Linked DNA regions of Sus scrofa. The protein of the gene in region 1 purifies or fractionates together with the protein of each later gene. This does not show direct contact. Links are inferred from orthologs where the notes say so. Each region holds a gene or a part of one and is shown in the gene's direction. Other genes may lie near its edges.

The links.
Region 2: the proteins of MTA2 (region 1) and BCL11A purify together in Homo sapiens (affinity purification with mass spectrometry; 4 studies listed by BioGRID and IntAct, with this or other methods). This does not show direct contact. The link is inferred for Sus scrofa from reciprocal best matches to the Homo sapiens genes MTA2 and BCL11A.
Region 3: the proteins of MTA2 (region 1) and CHD3 purify together in Homo sapiens (affinity purification with mass spectrometry; 8 studies listed by BioGRID and IntAct, with this or other methods). This does not show direct contact. The link is inferred for Sus scrofa from reciprocal best matches to the Homo sapiens genes MTA2 and CHD3.
Region 4: the proteins of MTA2 (region 1) and DNMT1 purify together in Homo sapiens (affinity purification with western blotting; 3 studies listed by BioGRID and IntAct, with this or other methods). This does not show direct contact. The link is inferred for Sus scrofa from reciprocal best matches to the Homo sapiens genes MTA2 and DNMT1.
Region 5: the proteins of MTA2 (region 1) and ZNF512B purify together in Homo sapiens (affinity purification with mass spectrometry; 3 studies listed by BioGRID and IntAct, with this or other methods). This does not show direct contact. The link is inferred for Sus scrofa from reciprocal best matches to the Homo sapiens genes MTA2 and ZNF512B.

Annotation. Positions count from the first base shown.
Region 1 is NC_010444.4:9,136,520-9,140,621, forward strand, and holds the start of MTA2 (metastasis-associated protein MTA2), read left to right. Parts: upstream 1-1,298; 5' UTR 1,299-1,886; coding exon 1,887-1,914; intron 1,915-2,062; exon of another isoform or gene 2,063-2,316; intron 2,317-2,642; coding exon 2,643-2,710; intron 2,711-3,121; coding exon 3,122-3,215; intron 3,216-4,102. Other genes in the region: EML3 (echinoderm microtubule-associated protein-like 3), read left to right, coding at 112-210, 475-605, 694-897. UniProt on the Homo sapiens protein: May function as a transcriptional coregulator. Acts as a component of the histone deacetylase NuRD complex which participates in the remodeling of chromatin.
Region 2 is NC_010445.4:81,196,522-81,200,685, forward strand, and holds the start of BCL11A (B-cell lymphoma/leukemia 11A), read left to right. Parts: upstream 1-1,364; 5' UTR 1,365-1,413; coding exon 1,414-1,468; intron 1,469-2,923; exon of another isoform or gene 2,924-3,775; coding exon of another isoform or gene 3,776-3,824; intron 3,825-4,164. UniProt on the Homo sapiens protein: Transcription factor. Associated with the BAF SWI/SNF chromatin remodeling complex. Binds to the 5'-TGACCA-3' sequence motif in regulatory regions of target genes, including a distal promoter of the HBG1 hemoglobin subunit gamma-1 gene.
Region 3 is NC_010454.4:53,156,038-53,159,545, forward strand, and holds part of CHD3 (chromodomain-helicase-DNA-binding protein 3), read left to right. Parts: intron 1-152; coding exon 153-238; intron 239-370; coding exon 371-504; intron 505-1,054; coding exon 1,055-1,199; intron 1,200-1,374; coding exon 1,375-1,537; intron 1,538-1,651; coding exon 1,652-1,773; intron 1,774-1,875; coding exon 1,876-2,011; intron 2,012-2,123; coding exon 2,124-2,225; intron 2,226-2,408; coding exon 2,409-2,540; intron 2,541-2,922; coding exon 2,923-3,031; intron 3,032-3,242; coding exon 3,243-3,375; intron 3,376-3,508.
Region 4 is NC_010444.4:69,026,947-69,030,992, reverse strand, and holds the start of DNMT1 (DNA (cytosine-5)-methyltransferase 1), read left to right. Parts: upstream 1-1,243; 5' UTR 1,244-1,259; coding exon 1,260-1,438; intron 1,439-1,575; exon of another isoform or gene 1,576-1,940; coding exon of another isoform or gene 1,941-1,996; intron 1,997-4,046. UniProt on the Homo sapiens protein: Methylates CpG residues. Preferentially methylates hemimethylated DNA. Associates with DNA replication sites in S phase maintaining the methylation pattern in the newly synthesized strand, that is essential for epigenetic inheritance.
Region 5 is NC_010459.5:62,804,394-62,808,656, reverse strand, and holds the start of ZNF512B (zinc finger protein 512B), read left to right. Parts: upstream 1-1,455; 5' UTR 1,456-1,682; intron 1,683-1,847; exon of another isoform or gene 1,848-2,535; 5' UTR 2,536-2,921; coding exon 2,922-2,985; intron 2,986-3,286; coding exon 3,287-3,412; intron 3,413-3,680; coding exon 3,681-3,823; intron 3,824-4,091; coding exon 4,092-4,220; intron 4,221-4,263. UniProt on the Homo sapiens protein: Involved in transcriptional regulation by repressing gene expression. Associates with the nucleosome remodeling and histone deacetylase (NuRD) complex, which promotes transcriptional repression by histone deacetylation and nucleosome remodeling.

The DNA of each region.
Region 1 (4,102 bases):
TGGGGACCAGATCACATGCCAGTGCCTCAAGTATTTCCAACTTGGCCTTCTATGGCATCTTCCAGCTGAGGGCAGGGTGAGACCTGATCTGGGTGGGCTCCCTCTCCCCAGGGGACGTGGCTGGAGGCTGTAAGCTGCTGAGGAATCGCTATGACAGCCGAGACCGGGAGTGGGCCACCTACACCTGCGTGCTGGGCTTTCATGTCTATGGTGAGCAGGGACGCAGGGCCCCAGAACTATGCCTCGAGAGTCGGGGGACAAGGTGCAGACTGCCCGGGGCTCGGAATGCTGGGCATGTGTGGAGGGATGGGCAGATCCAGCCCTGGGGGGCCCCTCCAGCAGGCCCTTGGGACCGGGAAAGATTGCCTGGAACGCGGCTGGTGGGTGGCGGGACTGACTGAGCGCTGGAATTGGTGCAGCTCTGGGCTGTGGGTGGTGGCGGGGAGGCAGGGCTAAGGCCGACGGCTGTGCTAGGCGTGTGGCCGGATGGCTCTGATGGAACCGACATCAACTCCCTGTGCCGTTCCCACAATGAGCGCGTGGTGGCTGTGGCCGACGACTTCTGCAAAGTGCACCTCTTCCAGTACCCGTGCGCGCGCGCCAAGGTGAGAGGCCTCCCAGGGCCTCCGGGGACGGCAGGTCAGGGCCCTGGGGCTCCACGGCCGCTGCAGCTCGACCTTCCCTCCTGCCCAGGCGCCGAGCCTCGTGTACGGCGGTCACGGCAGCCACGTGACCAGCGTCCGGTTCACGTACGACGACTCGCACCTCGTCTCGCTGGGCGGCAAGGACGCCAGCATCTTCCAGTGGCGAGTGCTGGGCGCTGGGAGCGCGGGGCAGGCGCCTGCCACGCCCTCTCGAACTCCCTCGCTGTCCCCCGCCTCCTCTCTCGACGTCTGACCGCTGCCCGACGGGACCCACCGGCCCTGCAGCGTGGCCCCGCCCCGCCCAAGTTTCCCAGGACCCGGGCCGACCCAGTCCTAGACTTCGAGACATTCCCGAAAGCTCATTTCCCTGCAGGGGGCGAACGGCACCCCTGCACACACTGTAAAGACCCGCTGGCTGAGCCGGGCAGCCCCAGCCTGGGCCCTGACTCCCGCTACCTGCTGAGGGGCAATAAACCAAAAGCAAAGTCGCCTCCCGGTCCTTTTGTCGGGCGCGGCTGGGCGCCTCGGGGCTCTGTGGGGTGGGGTGAAGGAAAAGGGGAATGCGGAAAGGGTGAGGGAGAGTAGACCTTTCATGCAAATAACAGGCAAAGCCGCTTGCAAATAACCCCGCGGAGTGCGGAGGCGCTACGAGTCTTTCGCCGCCGCGGGACTCGGGCGAGGAGAGAGTTAAGCCCAACTCCTCTCTCGCCCTCGGAGGCGGGGCCGAGCCGCAACGGAAATAACCGAGCGCCGGGACGCGATTGGCCGGAGGGAGCCGAACTTCTTCCGGAAGTAGCCGAGCTTTGAGGTCTCGCTCTCCGACCGGACCCGAGCGCTGGGCCTTGTTCTCCGGATCCGCCGAAGGTGTTCCGGAAGGAGGCGAACCCCGAGGCGGGCAGGGCAAGCCTTCGCGGCGGCCCGCAAAGTCCAACGTCTAGTGGGGCTCGGCGAGGGCGGGAGAGCTGGAGCCTGGCCCGGTCCGGCGGGAGCCGAGCTCGTTCCGGAAGAAGCCGAGCGGACCGGCTACGGCCTCGGCGTCCCGGGCGTGAGGCGATAGAGGCGGTGGCGACAGCGCGGGCCGGGATGAACCGCGACGGCTGAGGTGGCGGAGGTGCCGGCTGCGCGAGCCAGACAGAGACTTCTGCGAAGCGCCAGCCCCACGCTCAGGGCTTCGCTTCGAGCCCTGCCCCCGCGAGCCTCCCGGACCCCTTTGTGCGGCCGGAGGCGGCGGCGGGAACGGCCATGGCGGCCAACATGTACCGAGTGGGGGGTAAGTACCGGGCGTAGGGGCTGCGGGGCCCGGGGCGAGAGAGGTCGGGGGCCGGGACCGGAGAGGCTTGGCGCCCGGCGGCACGGGGAGTCGCGTCTGGGGCGGCGTGGTCCGGAGCGCGGACCGGAACCGGAACCGGTCGCACGGGGAGCGAGGGCGCGGGGACCGCGACGCGGCGGGTCACCGAGACTGCCGGAGAGACTTCGGGCGGCCCGACGGCACTCGCAGGGCTGCGCCTGGCGCCGCCGGGGTCGCGGGGTGGGCTTGGGAAAGTGGTTCCGAAGGAGCTGACAGGGCAGGCTAGGGGGCGCGAAGGGCCGGGGCGACCGCTTTGCCATCTGCGGGGGAGCAGCCGGGAGGCTTCCTCTCCCCAGGCGTTATTGTGCGCCTGGGTTCGCAAAGGTGGGGGCCCTGCGCTGGAGTGAACAATTGTTCGCTTGGCCGACACCGGGTGCAACTCCATCGCTGAGTTGCGGCGCCTGCTGGGGAACCCCCTGCTTCTGGGCTCCTCCTTAAGGCTCACTTTTGGGTGGTTAGGGGTGGCGGGTGGGGCACCCCTCCCTTACGTTCTGTTAGTCTCTCCACTTCCACATTTCAGCGACTTCTCTGCCTAGACCCTTTTCTCCTTTGGGTCCACTCAGGCCTCCTTTTCGTTCCTCCTACTCTCGTGCTCGGCTCTCCCATCCGCTCCTCTGATCTTCCCGGTTCTTCCCCACCCCCTCCTACAGATTACGTCTATTTTGAGAACTCCTCCAGCAATCCTTACCTGGTGAGAAGGATTGAAGAGCTCAACAAGGTGAGTGGAGCAGAGTCTTCTGGGCTCCCCCCCCCCCCCCCCCCCCCCCCGCCCAGTCCCTCCCCTGGTCTCTAACTTCAGGTGAATGAGAGAGGGAGGGAAAGAGGAAGAGAGCAGGAGAACATGAAGCCTGTTCTAAGTATTCATTCATATTCATTCATTCATTTGTTCATCCCATGCATTCAGGAAAGGCTCTTGACACCTTAGAGGATCTTGACTGTTCTATAAAGGGATTTGGAAGTCTGTCCTTAAATGCAAACGTCTTGATTCATAATTTCTTGGGTTTTTCTTATATCCTTCAGAAACCTGTTTGATGTTGTTAGTCTTGTCTTTCTGCAGTTCTACTTTCAAATGACTAGTTTTCACAGTGTTTTTTTTTTTTATTTTGTTTTGTTTTCTCTCTCTCCTTAGACGGCAAATGGAAATGTGGAGGCAAAGGTTGTGTGCCTTTTCCGGCGAAGGGACATTTCTGGTAGCCTCAACAGCCTGGCTGATAGTAATGCCAGTGAGTGTCTTTGTACCCCCGTCTCCCCCTGCCCATGATCTGAAACCTGGGCATGTCCGTGCAGGTGTTTCTCTTGGTATCATGCTCAAGGCAGGGGTGTGAGTTTGGGGGTGGGAAATGCCTGGTCTGCAGAGGGAGGCCTGTTTTTACACGTTGGGTTGGAAGCAGTGTGGAGAAACCATGACATGAAAAGTGAGAATTTGGCTGGTGTGTATTTGTGTGTGTGTTTGTGTGAGTGGGGTATGTAAAAGAGGTGGTAATGTTTAAAAGGGGGATGGAGAAGAGCTCTAATTTGGAGAAGCAACACTCTTGGGGACAGTTTTGGTTGTGTTGGGACAATGGGTGGTGACTGCGAAGGTCAAGGTGAACAGGAAGAGATTGTACTTAAAAGCTTGCATAACAGGGAAGTAGAGGGTTTTGTGATCAAGGGGGTAAGGCTATATTGATGGGAGAGAATAGGAAGCCCAGAAGGTTTTTTTTTAAGAACTTTTTCTCACCCATCCTGGCCTCTCTTCTCCATTTTACATCTTTCGTTTTTTTTTTTTTTTTTTTTTTTTTGGCCCTATCCGCTTTCTCTTTACGCTTTTGTTTTTTCTTGTTAAATTCATGTCTTTCAATTCCCCTTAGTTTTTTTTTTCCTTTCCTGTTTTGGCTTTCTTTCCCCTTTCTCTTATTCTTCCTTTCTAAATCATTTTGCTTACTTTTGGCGGCTTTGGGTGTTGGGCATGAAAGGGTTAATGAGCTGAGCCTACCAAGTTCTCCGGCCCTCTGGGGTTTCCAGTCCCATCTGGCAGGGGCTGACCTTGGCCTTGTCCAATCAGAAAGGGTGTGGGGGGTGTGGTCCCCCTTGCCTTCGCACAGGGTTTCCGGAGTGCTCAGAAGAGGGG
Region 2 (4,164 bases), on another chromosome or scaffold:
GGCGCCTCCCTCGCCCTGGGTCCGGTCGCTCCACTCCGGGGGCTGGAACATGCCCGGAGTTTGGCTTCCAGCTCTTTATTCCTCAGTCTCTCTTTCCACGATCCGTTCAGAACCTCGACTCGCAGCTCCCAGTTGCATTCAGACCCGATAGCTTGTCGAGGCGTTGAGAGTCTCCCCCGCAGCCCCCACCCCCCGGCCCAACCCCCGGCTTAGCCTGAGGGATGCCCTCCCGGCCCTCCGGCCCGGCCTGCACCGCCTTCCCCGCCCTCCCCCGACTCTCCAGGCCGCCTGTCTCTCGGAGCCCCTGGCGCTGTCCTTTCGGACCCGCAACCCTCCAAACTTGAGCTGGACTCTGCTTCGCCGCGCGCTCCCTCCCGCCTCCCCTCGTCCGCAGCGGAGCTGTAACTTGGAGGCTCTGCTCTCAACTTCGGGTGGTTTTTCTTTGCTATCCTCTTCTCCGGCAAAGTTTCTAGAGTGCAGCCGCGGGCTCAGAGCTTTTACTTCGGTCCCCGGCGTCCCCACGCGGGGCACGAGCGCAGCTGCGGCTGCGGCGGAGAGGGGAAGTGGGTGTGCGCACGCAGGAGGGTGTCCGGGAACAACTCTACCTGGCTTCCCTCCGCCCGCGCTTCCCCGGCCCCAGCAGCTTCCCCGTACACTCTGGCTTTTTTATTTTTTTAATTTTAAATAATCTTTCATTTTAGGTTCCGCGTGCGGGGGGGAGCAGGGCGTACGTCTTGCTCCCCCCCCGCCCCGCCGCCCCTTTCTTCTCTCCCGGCCACGCCGCCGCCTCGGCGCTCGCTGCGGCCACTGGTGAGCCCGCGGCCCCAGAGCCCCCTCCCCTCCGCCCGCCCCTCCCCCGGGGGCCGCGTCTGGCGTCTGCGGAGCCCCCCGCCCCGCACCTCCCCCGCCCCGCACTGGCCATTGGCTTGTCCTGGTCTCTTTTTCATGTCCAGCCCCTGATGTGTGTCCATTGGTGTGAGCTTCCCCTTCCCTCCTCCCCTTCTCTCCTGCTCGCCCTGCCCATGTTTTGTGTGTCTCTGTCCATCCAGACTCCTGACGTTCAAGTTCGCAGGGACGTCACGTCCGCACTTGAACTTGCAGCTCAGGGGGGCTTTTGCCATTTTTTTCATCTCTCTCTCTCTCTCTCTCTCTCTCCCTCTATCTCTGCTCTCTCTCTCTCTCTCTCTCTTTTTTTTTTTTGCTTAAAAAAAAAAAAGCCATGACGGCTCTCCCACAATTCATCTTCCCTGCGCCATCTTTGTATTATTTCTAATTTATTTTGGATGTCAAAAGGCACTGATGAAGATATTTTCTCTGGAGTCTCCTTCTTTCTAACCCGGCTCTCCCGATGTGAACCGAGCCGTCGTCCGCCCGCCGCCGCCGCCGCCGCCGCCGCCCGCCCCGCAGCCCACCATGTCTCGCCGCAAGCAAGGCAAACCCCAGCACTTAAGCAAACGGGAATTCTCGCGTAAGTAACCCAATAATAGTAATAATAATTATTAATAATCACGAGAGCGCGCAGGACGAGAAGCAAGAGAGAGGGGGAGAAAGGGGTGTGTGCATGCATTTAAATTTTTTTTTTTCACGAGAAAAACCTCCGAGAGTCGGGATAAAAGAGATTGGGGGGGGGCAGAAAACCAACCTCATCCCATCCCGAAACATAGCCGTATGTATACTTTTGGGGTGGCACGAACCTTTCAATTTTATTTAATTTTACAAAAATTAAAAAAGACTCCTCCTCTTTCCTGCTTTCCGCTGCTTTATTTCGCTTTTCGAAAAGGAATGCAATGATTTCCCCTCCAATTTTGCAAAATAATGAACAATGCTGTGGATGCTAACAACTCTCGTGTAAACCTAAGGGAGGGAACCGGAGGGGAAAAGGGGGGTTACTTCCACTCACCGTAGAAAGGAAAACGGGGGGTGGGGACCCAAGTCTTAAAAAAACAATTCCTAGGGAGGAAAGAGGTGAGACTGGCCCTCGGACACCGGGGCTCTCACGGTAAAGCGTGCACCGGAGGAAAGTAGTCATCTCTACAATAGTGAGAAAGTGGGATTGTGGGAGGGGGGCCCCCGGCGCTCCGGAGTCGGCCGAGTCTGGAATGGGGCTGAGGCTGTAGGGAGAGGGCGACAGGGAAGGACCGGAGAAGCGGCCGGCGCTGCTGCCTTTTGTTCCGGTCGGAGGTGGGTGTTTGTCCCGCTGCCTTTTGTGCCGGCTCCTTGCGCTTGCCCTCCCGCGCCGCCGCCGCTGCCGCCGAAGGGCAGGAGCAAGGGCCGGGGGCGAGCGGGAGAGGGAGGGAGGGCACCCCGATCACCGCCTCCCGGGTTGCTGCTGCCCGCTCCTCCCGGCCGAACCTCAGTGGCGGCGAGAAGACGTGTAAAACAAAACAAAACAAAACAAAACAAAATAAATAAAACAGGTCAAGAGAATGTGAAATTTCTTGCCCTCCAACTGACGCAAAACGCTCCGCCGGCCGTTTTCTGCAACGCTCTCCTCTTAGATTCGCCCCCCCCCCCGCAAAAATATCACATTCTCTAATTGAGGGGAAAAACACAATTACCACCCCTCCCTCCTCAAAACCCCTTTAGTTGAAAACTTAGAGCGCCGGCGGCACGGAGAGGGAGCGAGGAACTCCCTCCTCTTACTATTTTTTGGAAGATTTTCAAAAAAAGTGGAAGTGGATTTTGATTGGGAAAAATCTCGTGTCTGAATGTTTACAAGCACCGCGTGTGCGGGAGTCTCCTGCCAACAAACAGACAGAGAGGACCGAGCACTGCGCGGCAGCCCGGGAGCGGGCGGCGGCTGTGGCCGGGCCTCGCCCGGGCCTTGCCGGGCCTCGCCGCGCCCCCGCCCCGCCCGGGATCGCCCACCCAGCGCCCGCCGCCCGCCCGCTTGCTCGCCCGCCTGTCCGCCTGCACAGCGGAAGGCTGTGCTGCAACTCCGAGCCTGCCGGGTTCAGGGTCCACCCTGGAGCCCCAGCACAATGCCTAGACCTCCTCCCGGCCAACCCTGCTGCGAAATCGTCTGGGGAGAAACTCGGCTTTGCAAAGCATTTTTATTTAGCAAAGCAACCGAAAAAGCTAGTTCTGTCCGCTCCCTACCCCCGACGTCTCTTGCCTCCAGCTCTGGGCGGCGAGGAGGTCACCACGTGCTTTCCCGGCCCCCCTCCCACCCGCACTGGGCACCAGCCCCCGGGTCCTGAGAGCGTCGAAGCCAAGTGGGGGTGGGGGTGGGGTAAAGGAGTAGTATGTTGGAATGGGCATTTTGGGAGTGTTCGACCCCAGGACCCTACGCACCCCACCCTTAGGTTCTTGCTCTCTACCTCGGACCTAGACTTGAACGCGGGGGCGGGGGTGGTGGTGTTTCCTTGTGAATCTGTATAAGAGGGGTTGGGGTGGGTGAGTGGGTAGCAGTCTCCTGGCTTAACAGAATGCGCCTGGAAAGGCAGGCGATGGATACTTAGGAAAGTTTGGCTGCAAGAGAAAGAAAGGCGTGAGGGCCCACTTCCCTTCCCCTCCTCATTCTTGACCCTTAATTTAATTTTTGCTGCAATTTTAAAGGACCACCCTATACCTAGCTCTGTATTTTTTTAAAAGGGGTGTGTGTCTGGGGGGGGGGGTTGCGCATAGGGAATTGAGTTTTTCACTGGGCCCTGGAACTTGTCACATACTTCGAAAGCTCCCCCGCCCGGGCACGTTGCGGGCCCTCCCTCTCCCCACCCCCGCGCATCCCTCCCTCGCCGCTCTCCCCCGCCCCCCACTCGCCCAGCCGCGCCGGATGCGGAGCAGACGCGGCGCGCGGCGGTGTGAAGTTACAGCCCGGCCAGGTACCGGCGGGAAGGAAGGGCAGTGTTCGCAGCACTCGGGAAAGCCGGGCCCTTCTTCGGAAGGATGCATTAGGGGTTCAAAGGACGGACTGAGGCGTGCAGTCTGGGCTGCCCCCCTCCCTTCCCCCTTTCATCCCGGGTCCATTCTGGGCCACTCCAGGCGGGTTGGGTTGGCCCCTCTCTCCTCGTGTTTCAGGGCAGGCTTTGGTTAACGGACCAGTTTGAAGAGGGTGCAGGGGTCGCTCCTTTCTAATTTTCTGGGTGCGTAGAGGAGGCGGGAGCCATTCCGATCCTCAGGACCCCCTTCTTCCCCCCTGTCCTCCGCTCCTAGGGCTGTATG
Region 3 (3,508 bases), on another chromosome or scaffold:
AGTTCAGCATGCGCAGGGAGGAAAATAGATGTGCCTGGCCCGTGACGCGGGCCTTGCCTGGCTTCCTGCCCTGGGGGAGGGGCGAGCTCGGGAAGACTGGGGGGCGGAGGAGGCGGCACAGCTGCCAACTGGGGTCACTCTCTCTCGTCCAGGGCGTCGACAGTCCAAGAGGCAGCTCCGGAATGAAAAAGACAAGCCGCTGCCTCCACTGCTGGCTCGAGTTGGGGGCAACATTGAGGTGAGAGCGGCGCCCAGCGCCCGACGGTTCCCTGAGGAAGGAGTGAAGGCTGGGGGCTGGGAAATTGAAGCTGAGTCACTGAGGGTGAGAGCCCCGCCGTTCATGGCCCACGCCGTCCTCCCCCTTCCTCAGGTGCTGGGGTTCAACACCCGTCAGCGGAAAGCCTTCCTCAACGCCGTGATGCGCTGGGGCATGCCGCCGCAGGACGCCTTCACCACCCAGTGGCTGGTGCGCGACCTGAGGGGCAAGACGGAGAAGGAGTTCAAGTGAGTGTGGGCGACGCGGGGCCCAGGTAGATGGAAGGGTCAGACTGCGGGTGTTACTGTCTTCGTCCTGGCCACCATGTGATGTGACCTTACTCACCTGATCACTGTGCTCCCCGCCAGACGACCCCAGACGACAGTTCCCGGCTCGGTTTCCTGGGGGGTGGGCCCAGCCTGCCCCACCTCCCCTCAGACGAGCCTAGAGCGCAGAGGCCGGTCTCCCTGCTAGTGGGAGAGGCGGTGAAGACCGCAGCCTCTCCTGGGCTGTCCTGCCTCACATTCCTTTGGCCACGATGGCCGGCGGGGAGCCCGTGGAAAGGATGAAGAGCTGACTGATGGGGCCTAGGAATGAAGTCCCAAGGCCAGGGAGCCTGGAAATGCAGTGGCAGGGGTGGGGGTGGGGGGGAGTTACCTCCTGGAGGGCTGGTCGTGGTGGGATTGAGAGGCCAGGGGAGACTCCTGGCGGCACCCAGGAGGTTCAGTTTCAGGGCTCCGTCATCCCTGTGCCCCCCCAAGGCTCTCCTGACCTGCCTCCCGCCTCCATGCTCCTCAGGGCCTATGTGTCTTTGTTCATGCGCCATCTCTGTGAGCCCGGGGCAGACGGCTCTGAAACCTTTGCGGACGGGGTCCCTCGGGAGGGACTGAGTCGCCAGCAAGTGTTGACCCGCATTGGAGTCATGTCACTCGTCAAGAAGAAGGTATCGGTCTTCCCCTCACCCGCAAGGTCACGTGGGCTGCCTGGCTCTGGCCCCCTCTGCCGCATCCCCTGGTTCAGACTCAGGCTGGGGCGAGACAAGGCAGGAGGGGCTGGAGCCTGTCGTGTCCAGTGCCTGGAGCTGACCCCTGTCCCTCCACCTCCCCTGCACCCTTCAGGTTCAGGAGTTTGAGCACATCAACGGGCGCTGGTCTATGCCGGAGCTGATGCCTGACCCCAGCGCTGACTCCAAGCGCTCCTCCAGAGCCTCCTCTCCTACCAAGACCTCCCCCACCACTCCTGAGGCTTCTGCTGCCAACAGTCCTTGCACCTCGAAACCTGGTAATCAGCTTGGGGTGGCAAGAGAGACAGACAGGGCCAGGGTCCGTTAGACGGGGAGGGATTGGAGTTGGGCTGGGGAGGTTCTGCCTTCTTCACCCTGCCTTACCCCTGCAGCTACTCCAGCTCCAAGTGAGAAAGGAGAGGGCATGAGGACACCTCTGGAGAAGGATGAAGCAGAAAACCAGGAGGAGAAGCCAGAGAAGAATAGCAAAACTGGGGAGAAGATGGAGGCAGAGGTATGGGGCTCCCTGGTTCCCCCGAGAGGAGGGAGTGGTGGCGCCTTGGGGCGGGTGCCTGGGAGCCCTCGGCTTTGTCCTGACTCCCCTGTCCTCTTCTAGGCGGACACTCCCAGCCCAGCCCCGTCACTTGGGGAGCGGCTGGAGCCAAGGAAGGTTCCTCTAGAGGATGAGGGGCCAGGGGGACCTGGAGAGATGGAGCCTGAACCTGGGTACCGGGGGGACAGAGAGAAGTCAGGTGGGTGCATCGCCTTAGGGGTGATGGGGGCTTAGAATATGGGGGTTCCTTCTTCTGGGGTCAGGGGATGAGGGTGACAACCTCCCTTCCTGTCCCCTACCCCCTCCCACAGCCACAGAGTCGACGCCAGGAGAGAGGGGGGAGGAGAAGCCGTTGGATGGACAGGAACAGAGGGAGAGGCCGGAGGGGGAGACAGGGGATTTGGGCAAGAGAGGTAATGGGTGGAAGGACCGGCCACCCGGGTCCCTGAGGGAATCGGGAGGTGGAGTCTGGGGAGCCGAGTGCCGGAGGTCCCGGGTGGGCAGCGATTCCAGGGGCCAGTACAGTACAGAGAGTAGTCCTGGAACCTGGGAGGGAACTGCCTCCTGAGGCGTGAGCTCTGCCCCATTTGCCGTAGCCGAAGACGTGAAAGGGGACCGGGAGCTCCGACCTGGGCCTCCTCGAGACGAGCTGCGGTCCAATGGGCGACGCGAGGAGAAGGTGGAGAAGCCGCGGTTCATGTTCAACATTGCAGACGGTGGCTTCACAGGTGCGGCTTCTCACTGCCCCCTGCTCCTCACCGGTGTTTGCTCATCCTCTCGGGTTTCCCATTTGGCCTGAGGCCTCCTGCTACCTGTAATTGCAAGGAACTGCCGTGAGGTGGTGCGTGCTGTCTCTGAGCCTCGCCCTTGGGCCTCTTTAAGTGTACGCTCAACTCCAAAGCTGCCTTTCACCCCACCTGTGTCCTTCATCCTAGCTTGAACCTGCTTGTAACTAGTCTGCTTCCCAGCTCCTCACCTGACCTTGCCTTGTTCTCCTTAAAGAGCCCTTCGTCCTCTCCCACCATTCAGTTCCCTCCTCTGTACCTGTCTGCTGGGCTGGATGTGGGTCGCAAATGCTGACGCCTCATCCATCTTCTGTCCTCTCTTTAGAGCTTCACACACTGTGGCAGAATGAGGAACGGGCAGCTATTTCCTCGGGGAAACTCAATGAGATCTGGCACCGAAGACATGACTATTGGCTTCTGGCTGGGATTGTCCTGTATCCTTTGATACAAATGCAAGGAAAAACCTGTTCTCTCAACCTGGGGAGAGGGGCACTACAGAGAATGCAAGTCCACGCAAGACACTGGGGCTTAGTGCCACACGGGGGCTTAGTGCCACACGGGGAGCGGTCAGGCCAAAGGAGGGCGTGTGCACAGCCTAGCCTGTCCCTGTTAAATGCCTTGATGGTCCCCCCGTTTCATCGGCAGCCATGGCTACGCACGGTGGCAGGACATCCAGAACGATGCTCAGTTTGCCATTATCAACGAGCCATTTAAAACTGAAGCTAATAAGGGGAACTTTCTGGAGATGAAAAATAAGTTCCTGGCCCGGAGATTCAAGGTAGGGACGAGGGAAGAAAGGCACAGTGCCGAAGAGGGACTTGGGTCAGAAGCGGGACCAGATCTAGTTGGAGGGGAGGCCCTGCTGACACCGTGAGGGTTGAGGCAATGCTTGAGGCCGGACTAGAGGTTCA
Region 4 (4,046 bases), about 60 Mb from region 1:
TTGATTTACAGTGTTAATTTATGCTGTACAGGAAAGTGATTTCAGGTATATATTATACTTTCTTTTTTTTTTTTTTTTTTTTTTTTTTTTTTTTGCCTTTTTGCCTTTTTGCCTTTTTGCCTTTTCTAGGGCTGCTCCCGCGGCATATGGAGGTTCCCAGGTTAGGAGTCTAATCAGAGCTGTAACCACCGGCCTATGCCAGAACCACAGCGATGCAGGATCCAAGCCGCATCTGTGACCTACACCACAGTTCACGGCAATGCCGGATCCTTAACCCACGGAGCAAGGCCAGGGATCAAACCCGAAACCTCATGGTTCCTAGTCGGATTCGTTAACCACTGAGCCACGACAGGAACTCCTTTTTTTTTTTTTTTCTTCTTAAACCAAGGCTGCAGCATGTGTAACTTCCTGGGCCAGGGACCTGGGCACTGCAGTGGCAAAGCCAGATCCTTAACCTGCTGCACCACAAAGAAACTCCTATACATTCTTGTTTTCCATTCTTTGCCATTAGGGTTTATCACAGGATGTTGAATATAGTTCCCTGTACTATAGACTAAGACCTTGTTTATCCACAGGTAGCAGTTTGCATCTGCTGACCTCAAACTCCCATTGAGTTAACTGTTTTACCTAAGGTGTAAGTTAAGGGTCCAATTTTATTCTCTTGCATGTAGATATCTGATTTGCTTAGCACTACTTTTTTAAATGGCGGCACCAGCTGAACCTGTGCCTCCACCAGACACTGGAGCCGCTGTAGTGGGAACTCCCTCTCAGCACCATTTGTTGAAGAGACTATCCGTTTTAAGCACCCTGGGCTGTGGCAGTGGCCCAAATTTCCCTGCCCTGTGGGATCTTTGGTGCCAGCTATTTTGTGCATCCTCAATATTTTCTGGAGTGTTATTAGAGCCTTTTCACAGACATAAGGAAACTAGGGCTGGATCCAAATGACCTGCCCAAGGTTGTTATCGTGAGCAAATAGGTGTAGGTTGGAACTGAGTAATTGAACTCTAGAGCCCACACACGGAAATCCCATGGGGATACTCCTCATTTTATCCCTAGCTTGTGGGAAAGAATGAATGAATGTCTCAGGCAAGGCTCCCAGCAAACAGAAGCTTGGACCAGCCCACTTCTCCGCGCGGGGGTGCGCGCCCGCCTCGCGCATGCGCAGCCCCTGCGCACAACCAGCTCCACTGAGTCGGCCCGCACGTGGTACGGCCTCTCTCAGTGTGGTACGTCCCGCCTTCCCCCACGCCTGGGCCGGGATGGTACGCGCTGCCTCCGCTCGCCGCCCCTCCCCATCGGTTTCCGCGCGAAAAGCCAGGGCTGCCTGTGCTGCTGCTGTCTCTGCTGCACCTTCCAAGATGCCTGCCCGTACCGCCCCAGCGCGGGTGGCCGCTTTGGCCTCCCGGGCGTTCTCACTGCCTGACGATGTCCGCAGGCGGTAGGTGCCGCGGGGGACTGCGAACGTGGGAGGGTGGCAAGGCGGTGGGGGTGGGGGAGTTGCTTCCCCTCGGGGTAGCCCGTGGCCGCTGACAGACGGGCGCGCATGCGTGGGATGGCGCGGCGCGCGGCGGCAGTTGGCGCGGGCAGGGTGGCACTTCCGGTCGCGCGCGCCCTTGGCCGTTTGGCGCCAAAATGGGCCGAGGCCCCTCACGGCTCCCTGATGACTAGGAATTTGGGGTCTCTTCTGATCTCAAAGTAGACCAAGCTTTGGGTTTGCCGTGGGGAACCCCCTTTCCTGAGTAGCCACGGGCCCGGCCCCTGCCGCCAGCCTGGTCGCGCAGGAAGTGGGCAACCCGCGGCCTCAGGATACCCCTCAGGCCCAGCACTTCGGCCTCCACTTCCGGTGCCCGGTCTGCTGGGGGGTGGGGGTGGTCGGGCCATCCAGGTCCCTGGGGGCATTTGGGGGGGCCCCCCTCAGCGCCCCTACACTACGCATCCTGATGGCAGCCTCCAGAGACCGACGTCGCCGGTTGGGTCCCGGGCGCGGCCGGCTCAGGTTTGCGAGCCCTGTCTTCCCCGGGGGGCTCCCTCCATCACCCCACACAGTTAGGGAAGTAGCATCCTAGAAGGAATTCTGACCATGCAGTGAGAGTCGGGCTTGGGCAGAGTGAAAGCGGAGTGGTTTCTGCTAGTAAATCTGTGCCTGTGAGCTGTGGGCAATAAGGAAGCCTTGCCAGGGAGAACCGACCAGTTTCGTGTGTGTAGGGGGAGTGAGACGGCAACACTTAATATATGGACCCTGCTACAGCTATTCGGTGCACATGGATGGGCCGAAAGACCGTTGAGCCCCGGCTTCATGTTCCTGAAGGGCATCAATTTCACTCCTGAAACTTGCAGATCTCACTTGGAGCCCTAGTCTCAGGATCCTTGACCAGCCCCAAACACTTCCCAACCAGATTTGTGAAACCTGATTTTGCCATTCCCACCCCCATCCCGTGCTTGTTTCCCATAGTTGTGCCAGGCCAGTTCTGATTTGGGCTTTGGGGGTGGGAAGAGTAGGTGTTGGGAGAATTTGGCTCTCCCTTTCAAGTGTCAGGCCACTTCTTGATGTGTTTGTGGGAGAAGGTGAGCGCCACGTCTTACTCTCCGCCATCTTTTTTTCTTTCTTTTTGCCTTTTCTAGGGCTGCACTCTCAGCATATGGAGGTTCCCAGGCTAGGGGTCTAATCAGAGCTGTTGCTGCTGGCCTGTGCCAGAGCCACAGCAATGTGGGAACCGAGCCACGTCTGTGACCTACACCACAGTTCATGGCAACGCCAGATCCTTAACCCACTGAGCAAGGCTAGGGATCAAACCCGCAACCTCATGGTTCCTAGTCGGGTTCATTAACCACTGAGCCACGATGGGAACGCCTCCTCTGCCATCTTGATCCTTTCCCCAGACCACCTCTTAACCACAGTTAGAGGGTGGTTCTTTTTTTTTTTTTGTCTTTTTAGGGCCACACCCAAGGCATAGGGAAGTTCCCAGGCTAGGAGTTGAAGGTTCCCAGGCTAGGGGTTGAATCGGAGCTGCAGCCACCGGCCTATGCCAGAGCCACAGCAACGCTGGATCCGAGCCGCGTCTGTAACCTACACCACAGCTCACGGCAACGCCGGATCGTTAACCCACCGAGCAAGGGCAGGGACCGAACCCGCAACCTCTCGGTTCCTAGTCGGATTCGTTAACCACTGTGCCACGACGGGAACTCCTAACATGGGCTTTAAAGTGGTGCTGGATTAAATGACAATCTGCCCTGGCACATGAAGCCCTTCATGTTAGCACTGTTAATTGACTAATCTGGTTTTTCCCAGTTCTGCTAATTGTATAAAACATTTTATATTATCTCACTTAATCCTTAAGTGTTCTCTAGAGTGGTTGCCATAGGAGCTCACTGTGAGGAAACAAGGATTCCCACTGAGGTCTGCTTCTTGTCAAAACCTTTCCCTTCAGCTATGGCTTTTATTGGGCAAGAGAAGTATTGTGTTTGGCTGAATTTGAATGTTTTTAGGCGAGTGTTACAATCCACCATTCACCCTAGGTTGCATATTGCTTTGAACTAGAATTGCGTATTTTAGGTATGGAGTTTTGGGTTTCTGCCTCAGAGCATTGACATTGTCAGCTTATGTGACCCTCTCAACAGCTTAAAATTTTGAATTTCAGTGTACCAAACATACACATAAACATAGCATTCATTATTCCCTTAAATCACTTCCTTAGTGGAGTTCCCATTGTGGCTCAATGGGTTAAGGATCCTGTGAGGATGTGGGTTCCATCCCTGGCCTTGCTCAGTGGGTTAAGGATCCTGCGTTATTGTAAGCTGTGGCCTTGGTCAAAGATGTGGCTCGGATCCCATGTTGTGGTAGCTGTGGCATAGGCCACAGCTGCAGCTCCGATTCAGCCCCTCGCCCAGGAACTTCCATATGCCGCAGGTGCAGCCATAAAAAGGGAAAAATTCCCTTATCTCCTTGTTAATGAAGGTGTAACTCTTCTCAACTGATGGAGTTTCCTGTGGCCTAGCAGTTAAGGATCCACCCTGGTCACTGCTGTGGCTCAGGTTGGATCCCTGCC
Region 5 (4,263 bases), on another chromosome or scaffold:
AAGACACCAGGCCCAGTGTACCCCCTACACAACACAGACATCACACCCTGCCCTGACATGCAGACGCACTGTGGCCTGGACACACATTCACCAAGAACCAAACACCCCGCCATACCCTCTGTGCAGTCACCTGGACATGAACATACAACAGGCATCTTTTTCTTCTAGTACAGGACAGAGACGTGCCCTGACACCTCTATGGCCAAACAGGACACTGCTTGACACACATGAGCAGAGGGACACACACCTACCAACAGGTGTGGACACATTCCACGTAGACATGCAGACTTGCACGAGGAAAGCTGGCGAACCTGGGTGCGCCTCAGGCGCACACACCAGCCCCCTGCCTGAAATCCTGCGTCTCGACACCAGGGCAGGCACAGGCTCTGACTTCCAAGGGAAAGACTAACCCCCCTGCAGAGGGCACCCCGCCTCTGCCCCCGTGAGAGGCAACGATCCCTCCCCGTGAGGTGAGGAGGACCCCAAATCTTCCCATGAGCGGTGTAGGAGGAGCTGCTCCGGTGTGGACAGAGCACGTGGGAAGGGCCCCAGGGAAGGAGGTGCACCTCGTGCCTCTGTTTCCCTACTAGCACCCCTTCTCTGCTCGGCTCATTGCCCAGTCCTGGTGAGGCTGGTGCCCCACCCCCACCCCCAGACCCAATACTTCTGGGGCACAAAGGAGCAAGGCACTGGCCGCTGGCCCAGGACCACCCTCCCCCCAAAGTAGACAGAGGCTGCTCCAAAGGGCAGGAATCCCAACAAAGCCCCTGGCCTCTAGCTGCCCAGGCCCTGCCAGGACCCAAGCGAGTTCGTGAGGGTGGCCACAGGCAGACGTGGTCACAGGGCTGGCTGGAAAAGAGGCAGCGCGTGCAGGCTCCTGGGCCCGGTGGCCAGGAGTTCAAGGTCCGGGGAGACCTCGGCCTCCGACGGCCACACCTTCGCAGGGCCAGGTCCTGGAGACACCCCGTCGTCGCTTCAATCCACGCGCGCCGGGAGTGGGGCAGTACCCGGACCCCTGCCGAGCCTCGGCCGACCCCACCGCCTGAACACCGCCTCCCGGCCCGCAGGGGCAGCCCCGGCCCCCTCGCGCCGGCGGCCCGGCGGACGCAGGCGGCCGCCGGCGCGCGGCCGGCCGGATGGGCCCCCTCCCCCGACCCGGCTCCCCGTCGCGGAGCGGCGGCAGGAATACCGCGAGAGTTCGCCCCCTCCCCCCCACAGTAAAACTGTCAAAGGTGGGAGGGGCGGGAGCGCGCATGTGCGCAGCGCGGCGCGCAGCCTGCGCCGCCCGGACCCCGCGCCCCGCGCCCCGGCCCGGCCCGGCCCCGGCCCCGGCCCCCGCCCCCGCCCGGCTCCGGCCCGCTGGGCGCCGCAGGTAAGCGCCCGGCCGCGCCCCCGGCCGCGCCCCCCGGGCAGGCTCGCGTGGGCCGCGCCCCCGACCCTGACCCCGCGCGCAAGTCGAGGATCCGGGCCCTGCGTCCCGTCCCCGCGCGCCCGCCCCCGCCGCGCCCGGACCCCTGCGCCGCGCCCCGCGCCCGGCGTCGGCGCCGCGTCCCTGCCTCCTCCTTCTCCAGAAAAAGTCGCCATTTTGGTTCAGTGCCTTTGGGCACCCCCCCACCCCAAGGCGTCCGCGATCCGCGGCCCTTCCCGGGCCAGGCCGGGCCCGCACCCGCCGCAGGTGACAGGTGGGTGGCGAGGCCAGCCTCCAAGTGTGCGTCCCCAGGTCAGCCTCATCCGTGCGCCCGGGCCTGGGCCGGGGTCCCCGGCTGAGCGGCGTTGGCCGAGGTCCCGCCGCCAGCGTCGCCAGCGGTCAGCGCGTGGCACTCCAACCCCCCTCCCCGCGAGTGTCCCACCTTTGCGACCCTGCTGGGCCCTCCGGGAGGGCGGAAGCCCTTTCTCCTCCTGGTGCGCGAGTCACAGGCCCTGGGTGGAAGGAGGGAGTCTGCCCCCGAGGCCCGCACTCTCCCCGGCCCCCAACTCCGAATCCTCCACCCAGGCTGGGGGAACACTGGAAAGGTGGCTCTCAGCAGCCCCCACTCCTCCTGCCTCTGGGGTCATCGCGGGGCGTGGGTAACTGAGGATGACTGTCTCCTGAGTGTCAGGGGGAGGACTTCCAGAGAAGTTTGCTCAGAGCGCTCTAGACGCACACCTCCCCCAGACCCAGGCTCCAGGCATCCGGACACCAGGCGCAGTAACTGTGCTGACCTCTGACCTCAGTCGGCCAAGCCAGTCTCTGGACCGCCTAGGCACGGCAGCTCCTTCCCTTCCCTTTGGATATAAATTAGTTTGAAACCACCAAGGGAGGGGTACCCTGCGCACACAACCCCCGAACCTGGAGGGGCTCCCCACGTGAGGGGGGCCCCCAGCAGAACAGGCCCACAGAGGCCCGGTCTCGGGCAGCAGGATGTTTCCTGTGGTCTCTGACGTGGTGCTGGTGGACCTGTAGGTTGGTGACAGGGTCTCGGGGGTGGAGGTGATGAGGTCAGCTAGGCGAAGGGTGGCCGAGGAACCCAGCCTGAGGTATCCTTCTGGTTGCAGGGGCCCCAACTGGAAAGAAGGCCAAGAAGAGGATCAGGTGGGAGGGCTCAGCTGGCACAGGGGCCAGAACCAGGAGCTGCAGGGTCCTTGGCTGCCCCCCCCCCAGAGGGTGTGTGTTGCAGCTGGGGAGTGGCCAGGCTTGGCCATCTTCCCTCCGTGTCCTGGGAGAAGGATGCAAGGGCACCCGCCCGGTCCCGTCGCATGGCCTTGGGTCTGGGTGGGGCTGCGGGGGAAGGTGTTCCCAGGTGCCCAGCCAGCACAGCCTGTGAGCCAGCAGCCACACTGGTGTCCTAATTGGCCCCCCGAGGGGTGCCGCTAGCCTCCCTCCTCGGGGCGCCCCCCCCCCCACGTCCTGGGGCCGCCGCCAGCCGAGCACCAGGTAGGAGATGCATGACTCTCCGCACTCTCTGGGATCGTGTGTCTGGAGACAGAGGGAGCCCCCCAGAGCCGGTGAGGGTCTCAGGAGAGGGTCACATTCTTCCAAGCCAATGGGGTCTCCTGGGTTATCTGGCGAGACAGTGAGCCGCCTCCGGGTGGGGCTGTGGGAAAAGGTGTTCCCAGGTGCTCCCCTAAACCAGAAGCCTCCCCCACCCATCACCTGCTTTCCCTTGCAGCCCCAAGCACAGGCGGGCACGCTCCCCTTCCTTGGGCCAGAGAGTGGGCCTGCCTGTGGGTGGGGTTCGAGGGCAGCCCATTTCTCATCCTAAGTTGGGCCTGGTGGGCCTCACCAGTGGGTGCACTTGCTTTGCAGAGATGACCGACCCCTTTTGTGTTGGAGGAGGCCGCCGACTCCCAGGGTCCAGCAAGAGCGGACCTGGGAAGGATGGCGGCCGGAACGAGGTCCGACTTCCCATGCTTCATGACCCACCAAAGCTGGGTAAGAGGAGTCAGCCTAAGGTCCGCTCGCCTGGTCACGTGCAGCCAGTGCTGGGTGCGGGCCTCACTGGGCATCCAGCTCCTGAGTGCCTGCCTGGGCTCCTGAGAGGATTCCCAGGGCAGGGGCAGCCCGGGGCCCTGCATTCTCATCCTAGCCTGACTGCAGGCTCCTGCCCCCCACGCTCGGTATGGGGAAGCTAGCTCACCACCAGGCGTGGCTGGCCCATGGGGAGCATAGCCACCAAGCCTTGGCATGTTGTCTGCTGCAGGGCTGCCAGCGGTCCGAGGTGGGCAGACAATGCCCGGCCAGGCCCCGCTCTGCTTTGACCTGGGAAGTCCAGCCGGTGATAGGACAGAAGGGAAGAAAAAGGGGCGTCCGAAAGCTGAGAACCAGGCCCTCCGAGACATTCCTGTGAGCTCCCCGAGGGCTGGGTGGGGCTCTCGCGGGGTCTGCCTGTGAGCCCATTGCCTTACCGTGCTGGCTGGTGGCTCGTCCAGTGCCACGCCTCAGCCCATGTCCCCAGCCGCTCCGTGCATCGGGGCTTCAGGGTGTTGCCTCAGGCCTAGGGGGCCATGCAGGCGGACCTAGTCCTGCAAGCCCAGGCAAGGCCCTGGGTCGGGCTGGCCGGCAGAGGCCGGGACGGCTGCAGGGTCAGCAGCCTGGCCTTTCCCACGCCCAGCTCTCCCTGATGAACCAGTGGAAGGATGAATTCAAGGCGCACTCGAGGGTGAAGTGTCCAAACTCCGGGTGCTGGCTGGAGTTCCCCAGCATCTACGGGCTCAAGTACCATTACCAGCGGTGCCAGGGGGTAAGGGGCTGTGGGCTGGGGAAGGGGAGGCCTGAGGCCCGCC